2 linked regions of the Elephas maximus indicus genome follow. The protein of the gene in region 1 interacts with the protein of each later gene in a pairwise test. Links are inferred from orthologs where the notes say so. Each region holds a gene or a part of one and is shown on either strand. Other genes may lie near its edges.

Region 1 (7,028 bases):
CTTACTGATGAAGATCAAAGACTATATAGCCTTCAGTGTGGCTTATACCTTAACATAAAGAAAACAAAAATCCTCAGAACTGGACCAATAAGCAACATCATGATAAACAGAAAAAAGATTGAAGTTGTCAAGAATTCCATTTTACTTGCATCTACAGACAATCCCCATGGAAGCAGCAAATGACATATTGCATTGGGCAAATCTGCTACAAAAGACTTCTTTAAAGTGTTAAAAAGCAAAGATTTCACTTTGAGAACTAAGGTGTGCCTGACTCAAGCCATGATATTTTCAATCGCCTCATATGCATGCGAAAGCTGGACAATGAATTAGGAAAACTGAAGAAGAATTGATGCCTTTGAATTATGATGTTGGTGAAGAATAGTGAATATATACCATGGACTGCCAGGAGAACTAACAAATCTGTCTTGGAAGAAGTACAGCCAGAATGCTCTTTAGAAGCGAGGATGGTAAGACTTCGTCTTATGTACTTTGGACATGTTATCAGGAGGAACCAGTCCCTGGAGAAGAATATCATGCTTGGTAAAGTATAAAACCCATTGAAATCAAACCCATTGCCATCAAGTTGATTCCGACTCATAGTGACCCTGTAGAACAGAGTAGAACTGTCCCAAAGAGTTTCCGAGGCGTGGCTGGTGGATTCAAACTGCCAACCTTTTTGTTAGCAGCCATATTTCTTAGCCACTGAGCCAACAGGGCTGTTATACAGGTTTAGAGGTCATATAGCTGCTAACTGGCAGACACAGACTTTGAACAGATGTGTCTGACCCCAAAAATACGTTTTCTTCCTGCTATATCACACTGTCCTCTCCACCACCACAACCAACACCAAGTCCACCACTTCAACCACCACTTTCAACACTACCACAACCTGTACCATCATCTACACCACCCCTACCACCACCACTTCCAATACCACCTCCATCTCCATCTCTACCACCAGCTCCATCTCTACCACCACGACTTCCACCTCTACCACCATCACAGCCACCACCTCGACCACTTCCAGCACCCCTCAAACTCTACCACCATCACAGCCATCACCACCACCACCTCCACCTTCACATTCTTTACCTTCACCTCTACCACAACTACCACCTTCACCATCCGACCACCATCACATTGCCACCCTTTTCACTTTGTTGAGGTAGGGCGTCTTATCAACTATTTCCTACAAAACACCTTCATATTCCCTTCCTGTCCTACTTCACTCTGACCTCTTCCAACCTGCATTCCCCTGTATGCATAGGTAACAGAAATAAAGTGACAGCTACTGCACCACTACAGGGTCACTATGAGTTGGAATCCATTGGACGGCAATGGGTTTAGTTTTTTGGAAGCCCTGGTGGCGTAGTGGTTAACAGCCACAGCTGCTAACCAAAAGGTCAGCAGTTTGATTCCACCAGGTGCTCCTTGGAAATCATATGTGGCAGTTCCACTCTGTCCGCTAGGATCGCTATGAGTCGGAATCAACTCTACAGCAATAGGTTTGGCTTTCGTTTACCCAAATGTATTCGTTTTATGAAGACCCCATTCATTCATTCAACAAATAGTTATTGAGAGCATATGATGTGGCAGGCACTGTTCTCAGTGCTAGGGGTAAAGTAATTCCTTACAGGGTTTTCTTCAAAAGCAAAAGGCTTACAGTTTAGGATTTTCTTCACACATGCATACACCACTAGCTGTATTAACTCTACCTGCAAATTGTCAGCCTGGGCTCTGGTTACCAGCTCACCCCGCCTGGCCTCCAAGCTGGAGGGAAAGCAGAAGTGAGCTGTTCAAGAAGGATACACGAGTCAAAAGGAAAGTCTCAGGCAATAGTCGTGAAGTAATGTTTTATCTCTTATTGCCACAGCCAACTACCGCAGGAAAGAACTTCCTATTTCCATATTCCGATGATGTGTATTTGCTTAATGCAGCTTGCCTGAAATAATTTATACATGGACCCTCTCTAAAAAAGATGCTATACGAAAAGGCAAATTAAAGAAGGAGAACGTCAACAAGTACACAAACTTAAGTCCTCTTCCTCCTCACTTGCATGATGTGAGCAGAAATAAATGCGTGTTCTTTCTGTTTCTGTTTTCTATGTAAAATAAACAGCTCTGGAGGATTCAGACTCTGCCTTTTTAGGGTATTGTACAATAGCACATTGCCTACAACAGTACTGAGAACACACAAGCCCCTAGGGACTAATGAAGTCCACTACTGGAGTTATTTATGCCCTTGTGGGTTGTAACTCTGACTCCTATAATTAAATTTCTTTCATATTTACCCAAGCAAAGAAAGCCAAGTGAATCTGACTCACGGTGACCTTATAGGACAGAGTAGAACTGCCCCATAGGGTTTCCAAGGCTGTAATCTTTACAGAAGCAGACTTCCACCCCTTTCTCCCACAGCACCTGGTGGGTTCAAAACCTGATCTTTAGGTTAGCAGCCCATTGCTTTAACCACTGTGCCACCAGGGCTCCTTGCCACCTACATACAAAGGGGGGATAGCCACAAAGAACACACTTTCTCAAAAGAGGGTGACAACAGGGTGTTTCCCCAAATAAACTCCTCAGGCCCCAAACCGATGCTGAATTGTGCTTTTCTAAATCAAACCCATAGTCTACAGCCCAAGCAGCTATCAATATAACGTCCATTTAAGAAACAGAGAAAAGCAGAGTGAGTACATGAGTCTCCCTCAAAGCCCTGACAAAATTCAAGAGCGCCTTTAGCACTAGACTTGACAGCAGCAGGTTTATGAAGAGCTGGGTGAATGCTGTATCCCAAGAGCCACATTTCAGAACTCACTCTTCTAAAGCTCGTGCTAAGGTATCCGTTGCTTTACCATCTTGATAGGCCAAGCAATTACTTCTTAGACATCAGCCAAGGCGTGACTTTACTTACATGCAAGAAAAAGAGTAAATCCAAGAGCTGGTTCTTTGTACCTGAGTTCACAGCACTCATAATACTCTGAGGCAGAGGCTGAGGGTTCTGCTCTCTAAGCAGCTCCAGCTTCACAGCTCAGTCTACACAGGACTACCATTAGAATTTGACCAGAGAATGAAGCTCTTGCGAAAGAAGAGGAAGTGTCATCTTACTTCCTCAATTTCATTGTTCTTCCTTCTTATCATTATTGAGCCCTTCCTTGATTCCAATACGCAGGACACAATGCACGCAACACAGGCACACCCTAGCTGTCTGGCTCCATTTGTCACCAAACACTACCGAGTGTATCCCTTCCCAGGACACATATACAAAACATTATGACATGGCTTCACTTTCCTGTTTTGGAGGCAAAGATGTTTTCTCCCAAGCTTGCAGGGTGAGATCATTTGTAGAGCCATTTTCATCATGGTAGGTTGAGATGCCACTTGTTAACCATCAACCCCATTCAGGTTCCCATTTCCCTCACAGTTTCCCTTCCTTGACCTCTCCCAACTCTGCATAACAGTTTACTCAATAAAGAGGGCACTGATAAATTTGTGAAAAGCATTTTAAGATAAAAATAAGTCTTAGTCTACCGTTCTTTCCCAGCACTCACAACAGATTCTCTAAAATCAAAGCTTTTCTTCCACACGCTAGAAAAGGAAATTGGCTAAAAGTTAAAAATATTTGAACTTAACTCCAATATGTTCCTCACCCTGCCTCAGGCCTATCTTAACCTCTCCTTTTCAACATCAGCATCTTTTCATTATACTTTCTTGGGGAAAGCATACTGTCTCACTTTATTTATTCTCTGCTTTCAAAGAAAAGGAAATAAACCATTAGAAACAGGCCAGCATAGTCTTCCAAAATGTAGTAGCTGTATCCTTAGCATGTGGATTAGCTATCTATCTCTGCATAACAGATTATCCCCAAATTTAGATGTTTAAAACAACTAACTTCTATTATCACCTGGTTTCTGTGGGTCAGGAAGCTGGCACAGCCTAGCTGGGTCTCTATAGGCTGCAATGAGGTATCAGCTGGGGCTCCGGTCATCTCAAGGCTGACTGGGGAAGGATCCACCCCCACGCTTACTCACGTGGTTGTTGGCAGAATTCAGTTTCTCACGGGCTACTGGACTGAGGTTCTCAGTCCAATGCTAGCTATTGGCCCAAAGCCACCCTGAGTTCTTCCCCATATGGACCTCTCCTTAGCTCAGCTCAAAACATGGCAACTGGCTTCATTAGAGAGAACAAATGAGAGCGTGAAAGAAAACGGGAGAGAGTATGAGAAAGACATAAGTCACTTTTGTAACTGATTCTCAAAAGTGATATCTCTGCTTTTGCCATATTCTATTTCATATTCTCTTTGTTGGAAGTGACTCACTAGGCTCAGTCTATACTCAAGAGAAAGGATCATCCAAGATGTGAAGACCAGGAGGTGGGGTCACTGGGACTACCTCAGAAGTCTGCCCACCATACTGTGTAGAACTTTTATCTAAACTCAAGTTGCACCTCTCAAGCCAAATATGAGCAAAAGGGAAGTCCCATCTAAGGGTAAAATCATTTATATAGTTATACCTCTGAGACAACGTCTGAGACTTTCATCCAGGCATGATATTTGGGGCACCCTACCTTAGTCATTACCAAGCTCACACTGGTCAGGCCTAGAAACTAATGATCCCCATCATTCCATCTCCAAGAAACAGACCAGTTAACATACAAACAAAAACCTAAACTATAAAATTAACCAAGAATCTGGAAGGTAATGGATGCAATGTCAATAACCCAGTCCCAGTGCCATCGAATCGATTCCGAGGGATGAATGTTCACCTAACCACAAGCATGAGAAGGCTATAAGCCAAGCACAGATTTAGACCTTTCTCTGTGGCTTTACATAGTCACTTTAAGCATTCATCCCATTAGGATCAGAATTCTGGACACCTGGCATTCCTTCTTGAGACACTCAATGAATCTGCTGTTTCCTAAAACTGACCAGCAGGCAGGGGTGGATTGACCAGCAAGCAAGGTATACACTGGCATGTATGGGGTTGATTGTATTTACTTGCTAACCTGTGGTGAGCAATTTCACATGGGTTTCACCACATCTTTGCCATGTAGGAGATAGGTGAAATTGTACACTGCAGATTGGTGAGAAGGCACAACTGGGCCTGTGCATGCCTTGCTTACAGGGTAATCCTACCCTGCCAGCAGGACTTCATTGCCTGTAGCTCCCAGGGAACCCCCATGGTATAAAGGCAGATCACTTCTTCTAGCTTGCTTTTAAGTATGAACTGTGTCTTAGTTATCTAGTGCTGTTGTAACAGAAATACCACAAATGGATGGCCTTAACAAACAGAAATTTATTCTCTCACAGTCCAAGAGGCTAGAAGTCCAAATTCAGGGTGCCAGCTCCAGGGGAAAGCTTTCCCTCTCTCTTGGCTGTGGGGGATGGTCATTGTCATCAATCTTCCCCTGGTTGAGGAGCTTCTCAGTGCAGGAACCTGGATCTAGGGTTATTCTCCTGGCTCTTGTTTCTTGGTGATATGAGGTCCACCTGTCTCTCTTGCTCCTTCTCTCTTTTATACCTCAGAAAAGATTGATTTAAGACACAACCTAATCTTGTGGGTTGAGTCCTGCCTCATTAATATAACTGCTGCTATTCCCACCTCATTAACATCATGGAGGTAGAATTTACAACACATAGGAAAATCACATCAGATAACAAAATGGTGGATAATCACACAGTACTGGGAATCATGAACTAGCCAAATTAACACACATTTTTAGGGGACACAATTCGATCCGTAACAAACAGCTTGGGCCGGGGCAAATAGATGGTCTGTTTCCTGGCCTGCAGATAACTGGGCCCAAGGAGAAAAGGATCATTCAGGGTAGAGAAGTAAAGAATTCCATTGACCTTAGATCTGCCTAATTTAATGATATGCTTGTAACATCTGGCATTCCAGACAGAAACCAGTGTCCCTTGATTGTCGATGTAACTTGCAAAAGATTATGGACAACATTTCTAAAAGCAAAGTGGATATCCTTTGTATGGCATGTTTTATGTCTTGGCTTTTAATGGCCAGGAGATTTTTAATTTATAGATTAAACATGGCCTACGTCCCAACATACCCCATACCTCACAAGCCAAATATCAATTAAAAAAAAAAAAAAACTGTGTTAAAAATAAATAACATTGGGGAGTCAGAGGAAGAGATACTATATAAACAAAGTTAGTATCTGGTAAAAAGCTATGACCTTTGAGGAATAGATCATAGTTTGAAAACTGCTTCAGTCTCTGGTTTCTGACTTCTTCTCATTGTCTTTATATTCTTTCCACAAGAAGATAATTTAAATTAAATTTGCAGAGGAGTAGAAGAAGAAAAAGAAGATGCTGTACATTTTGACCAGAAACACAATAAAATTCTCTCAATGGCTTCCCATTTCTGTGAACTTCTGTTTCTGGGAACTACGACCTCATCTTCTCCCCACATGAGTTGCTGCCCTAGTTCCTTGCTTTATGTGGCATCCAAAAAGTGTTAGATGGTGTTAAGGTATTTAGTAACATCAATAGCAGAGGCTTGTTTCTCACTAGATTTTTAGATGCCATCATCAAAGGGCATGTTATTCATAATTATGGGGTCAGGGTTGGAGTCACTTAAATTCTTTAAGTATAGATCCCCTGATGTATAAAATTGGAGTAATCCTCAAGGAGATTGGACTTCTAATTCAAGATGGTGGGCTAATGACAGAACCTTTTTGCCCCCTTCCTTCCTTTCCAAGACCCCTTTAAAATAAAAATAAAACAGCTGTCCCCAAGTCAGTTCTGATTCATGGGGATCCCATGTATGGCAGAGTAGAACTGTGCTGTATAGTGTTTTCAGTGGCTGATTTTTTGGAATTAAATCGCCAGGCCTTTTTTCCAAGGCACCTCTGGATGCATTAGAACCTCCGATCTTTCCATTACCATCAGGATGCATTAACCTTTTGTACCACCCAGGGACTCCTTAAAATGATAGGAAAAGTTTAAAAAAAATACAAATACACATAAAAATTAAAAAAGAAGAAGGAAGAGCATTAGAGAGATCACAACAGATTTCT
Region 2 (7,561 bases), on another chromosome or scaffold:
ACCCCAGATATCCACAATCACCATGCACCTCAGATGCCAAGACGGTCCCCACGCACCCCAGATGTCCAGTCCCATGTACCTCAGATGTGCACATCCCAAACTTTCACGGGTAATTCCATGCAACTTAGATGTCCAGACAGGCTATGTCCCCCAGAGTCCACAGATGGTCTCCGGTACCTCTGATGTCCAAGCCCGTGTACCCTCAACTTTCAGATGGTCCCCACACTCCCCAGATGTCCTCACAGTCCCACGCACACCTGTCTATACATGGTTCTCATGCTCCTAAATGCTCACAATCTCCACCGTCCCCAGACGTTTACAGACATTCCCATACTCCCCTGGTGGTCCCAGGCTCCCCCAGACAAAGCCTGAGGCCTGTCCCAGGCCCTCCTATCAAAGCTGGGCAGGAAAGACAAGTCAGTCATTTGTTGTCTATCAGGGCCTCTTGAGGAGGCTGTAGGGCAGTCCATCCAAGAGCTGGCAGAGAGGGGGCAGGAGATAGGTATGAGGTGAAGCAGGGAGGGGCCTGGCAGGAGCGGCATGCTCTCACCTCTCCCCCAGGTAGTCCCCGATGGCCGTCTTGTTCAACCCCTCGCCCTTGTACAGGAAGCGGGCAATCTCCTCGGGTGTGTTCTGTAGCAGTTCGTTCTCCACCAAGAACTGGATCCCCTGGTGGGTGGGCACTGGGGCTCAGTGCCAAGGGCCAGAGAGACACACCCCCCTGCAGCTCCAGAACCTCAGCAACCCAGCCCACCCCCACTCTCAACAGAGCAGGGCCAGGTTTCACTCTCAGTCTGCTCACAGGTGCTCAAAGACCATCCCACCGCCTCATGGCCTTTGCACTTGCCGTCCCCTCTGCCTCTGCCTGGCGAATTCCAGCACCGAGAACAGGGCCCGGCCACCAAGAGGCACTGGATAAATGTTTGTTGAACGACTGAACAAACTCCAAATGCTTCAGGCAAGACGAAGTGAAAAACTCTAAGCAGGCACCAACTAGTAAAGGCTGAACTGGGGCTCTTCTGGCTGCTCCCACGTCATGAGGACCTCCATTCTCATTTTATATCGCTCTGAATTATGACGACTGTGTCTGGGGGCTCCCTGAGAGCAGGGCAAGGTCTACTCCTCGCTAGGTCCTCAGCATTGCCTACTTAGCATAGGGCCATAGCTCCGGGCGGCCTCAGGAAACAGATGTCAAAGGAATGACTGCATGAACGTCCTTTCTCTACCTGGTGACCATATACTCATCCTTCACAAGTGATCTGAATGTCCCCTCCCCTGGGAAGCCCTCCCTGATCCATGGCCCCACTACCTTCCTCTATCAGAGTACTGTCAACTCTCCTCTGTGCATGTCACTGTCCACGTCCCCTACCAGACCCAAGTTCCTCTTACGACCCTAGGTGACACCAGAAATGGGTACAGAAATGTGAGAAGAAAGAGGAAGAGGACCTCCCAGGCAGGGGACACAGCATAAGCAAAGGCTGGGAGGCTGGAATGCTTGATGAGCATTCAGAGAACAAATGGACAACCAATTTCCAAATCCAGGGATGAAGACCCAGTCTGTCCACCTAGAGCAGACCTACAGCTATCACACTTCTGAAACCTGGAGATACCAGAAGCCCCTGCCAGGACTCGAGCCCCTGTGGCCCCAGACACCTTCTTAGGGTCCATGTTGAACTTCTTCCTGCCCATCGCCATCTTCCGGTTCCGCTGTAAGGTCTTACTGCAGGGGCAGAGAATGGGGTCAGAGATCAATGCTTGGGCAGCCCTCGCCTGAAGCCCTGCACTCCATGTCCCTCACCCTGGCCCTCACCTGCCCTCATTGGCCTCCAGACCCTCAACCTCGCTCATAGCCTCGCTGAGCTCCTCCCGCAGGCGCTGGATCTCCACCAGCAGCTCCTGCTTCCGCCGTCGGATGTTCTCCAGCTCCATGCGCTCCTCTGGAGTCAGGTCTGGGGGTTCTGGGGGCCGGAGTCAGGGATTGGAGGTCAGGCCTGGGGGGACTGGAGGGAGGGTGGCACCGGGGACAGGGCTCTGAAGTCCAGGGGGAGGATGAGGATCAGGACGTCTTTGTCTATGGGGAAAAAAGGGGCTGGGATCTTGGGTTCTTCAGTCCAGGGGAGGAAGTCCTGGGGGAGGAGAGGACTTGGCACCCAGACCCCTGAGTCTGAAGGAGGAGTGGGAGCCTGAAAATTATTAAGTTTAGGGGAGCAAAGGGCTGGGAGCCTGAACTTCTGAGTCCATTACTTGGGAGGAGGCCGAGGCCTTGGTTTCCTGACTTCATTACTGGCGAGGTAGCTAGGTGTCTGGGCTCCTGGGCGCTGAGTGAAGCTAGGAGTCCGGACTCCTGGGTCCATGAAAAGTAACTATGCCAAGGAACGCTGATGACTGCTTACAAAAGTTGCACCAGGGGGGCGGGGCATCAAAGGCCCCCGCCTTTGCGGGACCTCGGGAAGCCCCAAGATTTCTCTCCAGTTGGCCACCCCCAGCAGCCCCCTCCCCGCTCCCGGCAGGCACTGGGCTCGCCGGGCCCCGCCGGCGGGGATGGTTCCGCCCGGGCTCGCCTCCGCCACTCCATTCTGCCCCTCCCGCCGCCACCGGAAACAGGCTCGGCCCAAACAATGGCCTGGAACGCCCCGCTCTCGGGCACCGCCGGAAACCCGGCCCGCATTCTACAAAGGCCAGGCGTCGACAGTGCCGAACGTCTCTGCGCGGCGCGCGCCGGGAGGGAACGTTCGCGGCAGAACGTTCGCGAAGAAACGCTTCATCCGCTTCCCTGCCAGCCCCGCCCCTCCTCGACCTACCATAGACACCGTCCTCCATGGCGGCTAGGAAGGCCCGCGGGGAGTCCGGGGCGGTCCCGCCAGTCGGGCCGGGATCCGCGTTGGCCCGCGGGCTCGGGTGAGCCCGCTCAAACGCCCCGGGAGCCACCGCCGCCTCCTCAGCGCCAGTCCTCAGCGCTGAAAAGACTCTCCCTTCGCCTCCCAACCGCCCCGCCAGTAGGGACCGCCCCCCGTTTTGACACCGTCCAATCCACGGCGGGCCCTCTCGTCTGCTCCGCCCCCGAAACAAAAACCGTCCTCCAGGGCCAATGGGAGTGCAAGAAGTAGATGTAGGCCTATTGGGCCGGAGGTAGATGGTACGTGGGGCCAATCGGAGTGCGAGCAGGGCGCAAGGCCCCGCCTCCGGAACAAAAGAAAGAGCTTGGCAGAATGGCCCGCCAATGAGAAGCCTCGGAACGGGTTGCCTGGAGGTGCAACAGTACTAGGGCAGGGAGAAGTGCGCCTGCGCAAGGCCTCTTGGTGCTAGGAGACTAGTTCAACCGAGCCCCGCCTCTAGTTGCTGAGGGACGGTACTTTGTGGCTCTTGTTGCTAGGGGGCGGGGCCAAAACTGTCAGTTGTTTCAATGAGACACACCTCCTAGCTGGCCACGCTGGCTTTTGAAGGCTGCGGTTGCCAGGCAACCGGTAGCCATTTTTGGCTCACTTTCCTTTTGGTTTAGTTCCTTCCTCCCGTAAAAAAAAAAACAAACCCTTTTCCTGGTTTTTGCCCGCTCCTTCTTCCAGACCTTTTATTTTTAACCACTTTCAAGACCGCCCTATCCACTTCAGGCTTTTTAGAGTCAGGGAGTGGTGAAACAAAAGACTTTTTCTTTCTTTCGGACGACCCTGCGCTACTAGCCATCTGTTACGGAGATGAAGGCAACAAGTGAAAGCCAAATATAGTGAAAACGCAAGCTCCGCCTTCCTGGCGCCTTTCCCTCTCAGGCCCCACCCCTCCCCTCCTCTTAAGTTCCTCCCACCCTCAAACTTCTCCCCTCAGCTCAGCATCCTCCCCTACACTAGCAACCTCTTCCCAAGAGTCCTCTCTTCCGCAAGCATCCTGCCCTTAAAACAACTCCCCTTTCCTCACATCCTCACACCTCTCTGATGGCTTATCCCTCTCGGAGTCCTTTCCCTCTGGTTCGTCTGTTCTCCCATACGCTTCCCTTTCTCAGACTCTTCCCTCCTCTCAAAAATCCTCCCATATAGGAGGCCTCTCCCATTCCCCAGCCCCTCCTTCCCATTCCATGCCGGGGGGGGGGGGGGCGGGGAGCGGATGCAGGAACCCAGACGGGAAACCTGTTGAGTGGCAGGTCCCTCACTCCGGCTGAGGGGATGTCTGGACCTCATCCTCGTCCTCTTTCACTGTTCTTGTGCTGGGCAGGTGGGGACACATTCAGGGCCAGGACCTGGTTAAGCTGACGGATTAGACACCGAGCCTCTTAATCTCCTCAGTGACCTTTAGGAGAAGCCCAAACCCTGCCCTCCTCAGGGGAGACCCAGATGGTGCCAGCCCTGCCCCCTCTCCCAAACAGCGCCCTCTCCGTCCCTTCACCCCATCTTAACATTCTTCCCCATAACCCTGAGAGCTATGTTTCCATTGCCCCCAGTCCCTACCCCAGACACCCTAAACTGGGAGAGAAGCCAGCTAATTAATCCCATCCGGTCATTAAGTGGGGATTCTGAAGCATAAACGGGAGGTAGGGACACGGGGGGGGGGGACCTGGGTTGATGCAGCACTTGGGCAGGCTCATGGCAATGACTGCCTGTCCTCAGTCCTGGGACACTGGGGCGGGAACTGTCCTCCCCCTGGTACTGGCACTCTCTGCGGCTGCTTCTCGGCCTGCGGAGTACTTAGGTAGATGGGAACATGGGCCAAGGGCCAGCTCCGAGGACCAGTGTCCCAGAAACATACTCACAAACACACCCATGAGGGCTCCCAGTTCTTTAATCTCAGGGGAAGCTCTCGCCCCCCCCCCAAAACACACTGTCCTCACAGCGGGACGATCCCTGGCATTCCGAGCTCACCCCTCCATCCCCAGCCGCCAAGGAGGAGGTGAACTGGCCCTTGGCCACAGCCCACACACTACCCATTGCATGTGCCATGATTTAGACACCTAGCTTCCATGAGCATCTCCCTTCCCAGCCACCCCGGAAGACCAGGTGTGCCAACACCAGGGAGAGCTGTGAAACACCCAGGACCCTCACCTCCACCCCACCTTCGGTGAGGTGAAGAACCATCCTGCTGGAAGGGCTCTTAGGAATCTTCAAGTTCCAATGCCCCATTTTACAGATGGGGAAACTGCGGTGAAGAGAGGGGAGTGATTTTCCCAAGGTCACACAGTAAGTAAGTTATGGCAGAGTTGGGATATAGAGAAAAGCTTCTTGGAGTCTTGTAAAGACTTGTTCCAGTGACCTCAAGTTCAATTTCTACCCTCCTGTAGGAACCAGGGGAGAAAAATAGATATCTGTATTTATATTATATATATATGATACATACGTGTATAACATCTTTAAGAAATATATACACATAACTAGGTGTAGGATTCCAGAGCATTTTAGACTCACCACTAACTAGCCCTGTTGCCTACAGGGTCTTATCTGGGCCCTCGCCTTCCTGGACAGCCCAGAAATGCTGCTTCTCAATTCCTGAGTGCATCTCCTAGAATGGCCAAGCATCCCATCTGGAGGTGATTTGAACTTCCAGGCTTTGGTAATGGACAACTCTGGATCCCTAGAGCCTTGATTCCTTTTGGCATTACAGAACCACAAAGAAGTTTGTTCTATCAGTTCATAATCCACAATCATTGAGATTCTCAACTCCACTGGGCAAAGTGGAACCAGCAAACCTTAGACTTCTAGAACCATCATTTTCTTGACTCTGATCAGTCGAGACCCACAGAATCTGAATTCCTTTCAGTATTCTAGAATGGCACTTTTTTTTTTTTTTCCAACGTCTTATGGGTCATTTAGAAGCATTGATTATTCTCTCAAGTGGATGTTCAACAGTGTCTGAGTTATCTAATATCAAGAACTCCCAATCTGTCACTCCCAATCTGTCACTTTAGTCCTCCTAGACCCACGGACTCCCCCATTGCTTTGTGCATTCTAGAAACATAACTCTTTAATTTCTGGGGTGGTTCAACTCCTGAGATCAAACCTGGTCTAGATTCACAAAATCTCAACTCTTGGGCTCTCAGGAACCACAAGGTCTTCTTTTGGCTTGCAGTAACCAGTCCTTGTCTTTGGTCAGTTGAGAGGGGTTTGAATACTTGGGGCATTCCATAACCTTCCCTCTTTGAGTGATCTAGAACCAATGATTTGCTACTCAGGTGGGTGAGTCTGGAAGCTGTTGGGTGAGTCCCTCGAATCTTAGGCCAGTTCAGACCTACAAACTCTTTATCTTTGTTGCTGTTCAATAACTGCCAACTTCCTCTCCTAGAGATGGCGTAGACAACTGATTCCTGACCCACTGATTCCAATTACCCAGGACCAGCCGTACAGAGGAATCCAGAACCACTAGTCCTGGCCTCTTGGGTGGTCCAGGATTCTGGATCCCTCAGCTCTGGCGAGACACAGGAATGAGGCTTATAATGGGGGAGGGGGGTCTCAGGAGGGACCATGGAATGCAGAGGAATTAAGGTCCAGTATGTCCATGGTGGGTCCTCCAGGCATGGCAGGGCCTGACCAGATAATAATTTACCCAGCAGGCATGTCAGCCTTGGGAAAACACCAACCCCATCCCAGAGAGGGCCCCATCTCTCCATCTTGCGACCTCTGGGAAGGAGGCACAGATGGGTGCTACCAGCTCATGTCATGGAAGCAGGATCACCGCCAGGATCAGTGTGAGAACTCAGTGACTGGCAGTCCCATCTTCTGCCTCTGCCCCATCCCCTTCCTTGGCCTCCTCTTCTTCCTCTTCTTCCTGGCACCAGCTCAGAGCCAGTTCGTTCTCATAACAAAATGCAGCCAGGGAGCCAGGGAAGCTAGACTTAGGGCTGTGGGATGCCTGCTCTGCCCGTTCATCCAGCTCCTTCGCGCTACAGACAGGCGTCCCTGGGACCTCATAAGTGCGATGGAAGTGACGATAGTCGACCTCATACTGGGAGCCACGCTGGAAGAGGACTGGCTCAAAACGATGGCCCCAGAGCAGCTCACCAGGGAGGTAGGAGGAGCGGCACTGTGTGGTCATGGCTGTAGCCTCTACCATGCCCTCAAGAATGACCACCAGCTCAAAGTCAGCCCGGGCCAGCTCCGCACGGCCAAGCTCGTACAGGGGACTGGCAGAGTCGATCTCATGCACGATGGTGATGGGAGACACGAGAAAGATGCGATCGGTGCCACCATCGAAGCCCACGTCCACGTCCTGGTGGTCCAGTGGGATGTATTCACCCTCCGGGGTCACACGGGGCTGCAACAAAAGAGAGGGACCAAAGACAGTGAGCAGGGAGCACAGAGAGGAACAGAGACAGGGAGAGGAAGGAATTGAAATGCAGAGAAAGGGGAGAGCGGAGACCACCAGTGAAGGGGAGTGGTGGTGTTTTGGTTTTTGATCAGTCTACCCCATTTGGACACGTTCCCTGCCCCGAGGCTTCTGGGAGGTATAGTCGAAGGGTCTTCCAGGCGCGACGCGCACCGCATATGCACGCCTACATCTCCCACAATGCCCCAGGGCTCGCCCTCCAACCCTGCGAAGGGCCCAACCCTTCCCCAGGCAGTGCCCCCCAACAGGGGCGGGCGGG

What was found. The genes of interacting proteins can lie anywhere in the genome.
Region 2: the proteins of IPCEF1 (region 1) and CYTH2 interact in binary tests that used the Homo sapiens proteins (3 or more experiments, as listed by UniProt). The link is inferred for Elephas maximus indicus from reciprocal best matches to the Homo sapiens genes IPCEF1 and CYTH2.

What each region holds. Positions count from the first base shown.
Region 1 is NC_064819.1:226,120,255-226,127,282, forward strand, and holds the start of IPCEF1 (interactor protein for cytohesin exchange factors 1), read right to left. Parts: upstream 3,015-7,028; 5' UTR 2,968-3,014; coding exon 2,949-2,967; coding exon of another isoform or gene 2,908-2,948; intron 1-2,907. UniProt on the Homo sapiens protein: Enhances the promotion of guanine-nucleotide exchange by PSCD2 on ARF6 in a concentration-dependent manner.
Region 2 is NC_064829.1:98,806,342-98,813,902, reverse strand, and holds the start of CYTH2 (cytohesin-2), read right to left. Parts: upstream 3,005-7,561; 5' UTR 2,821-3,004; coding exon 2,802-2,820; intron 1,959-2,801; coding exon 1,811-1,958; intron 1,721-1,810; coding exon 1,654-1,720; intron 670-1,653; coding exon 551-669; intron 1-550. Other genes in the region: KCNJ14 (ATP-sensitive inward rectifier potassium channel 14), read right to left, coding at 6,673-7,230. UniProt on the Homo sapiens protein: Acts as a guanine-nucleotide exchange factor (GEF). Promotes guanine-nucleotide exchange on ARF1, ARF3 and ARF6. Activates ARF factors through replacement of GDP with GTP.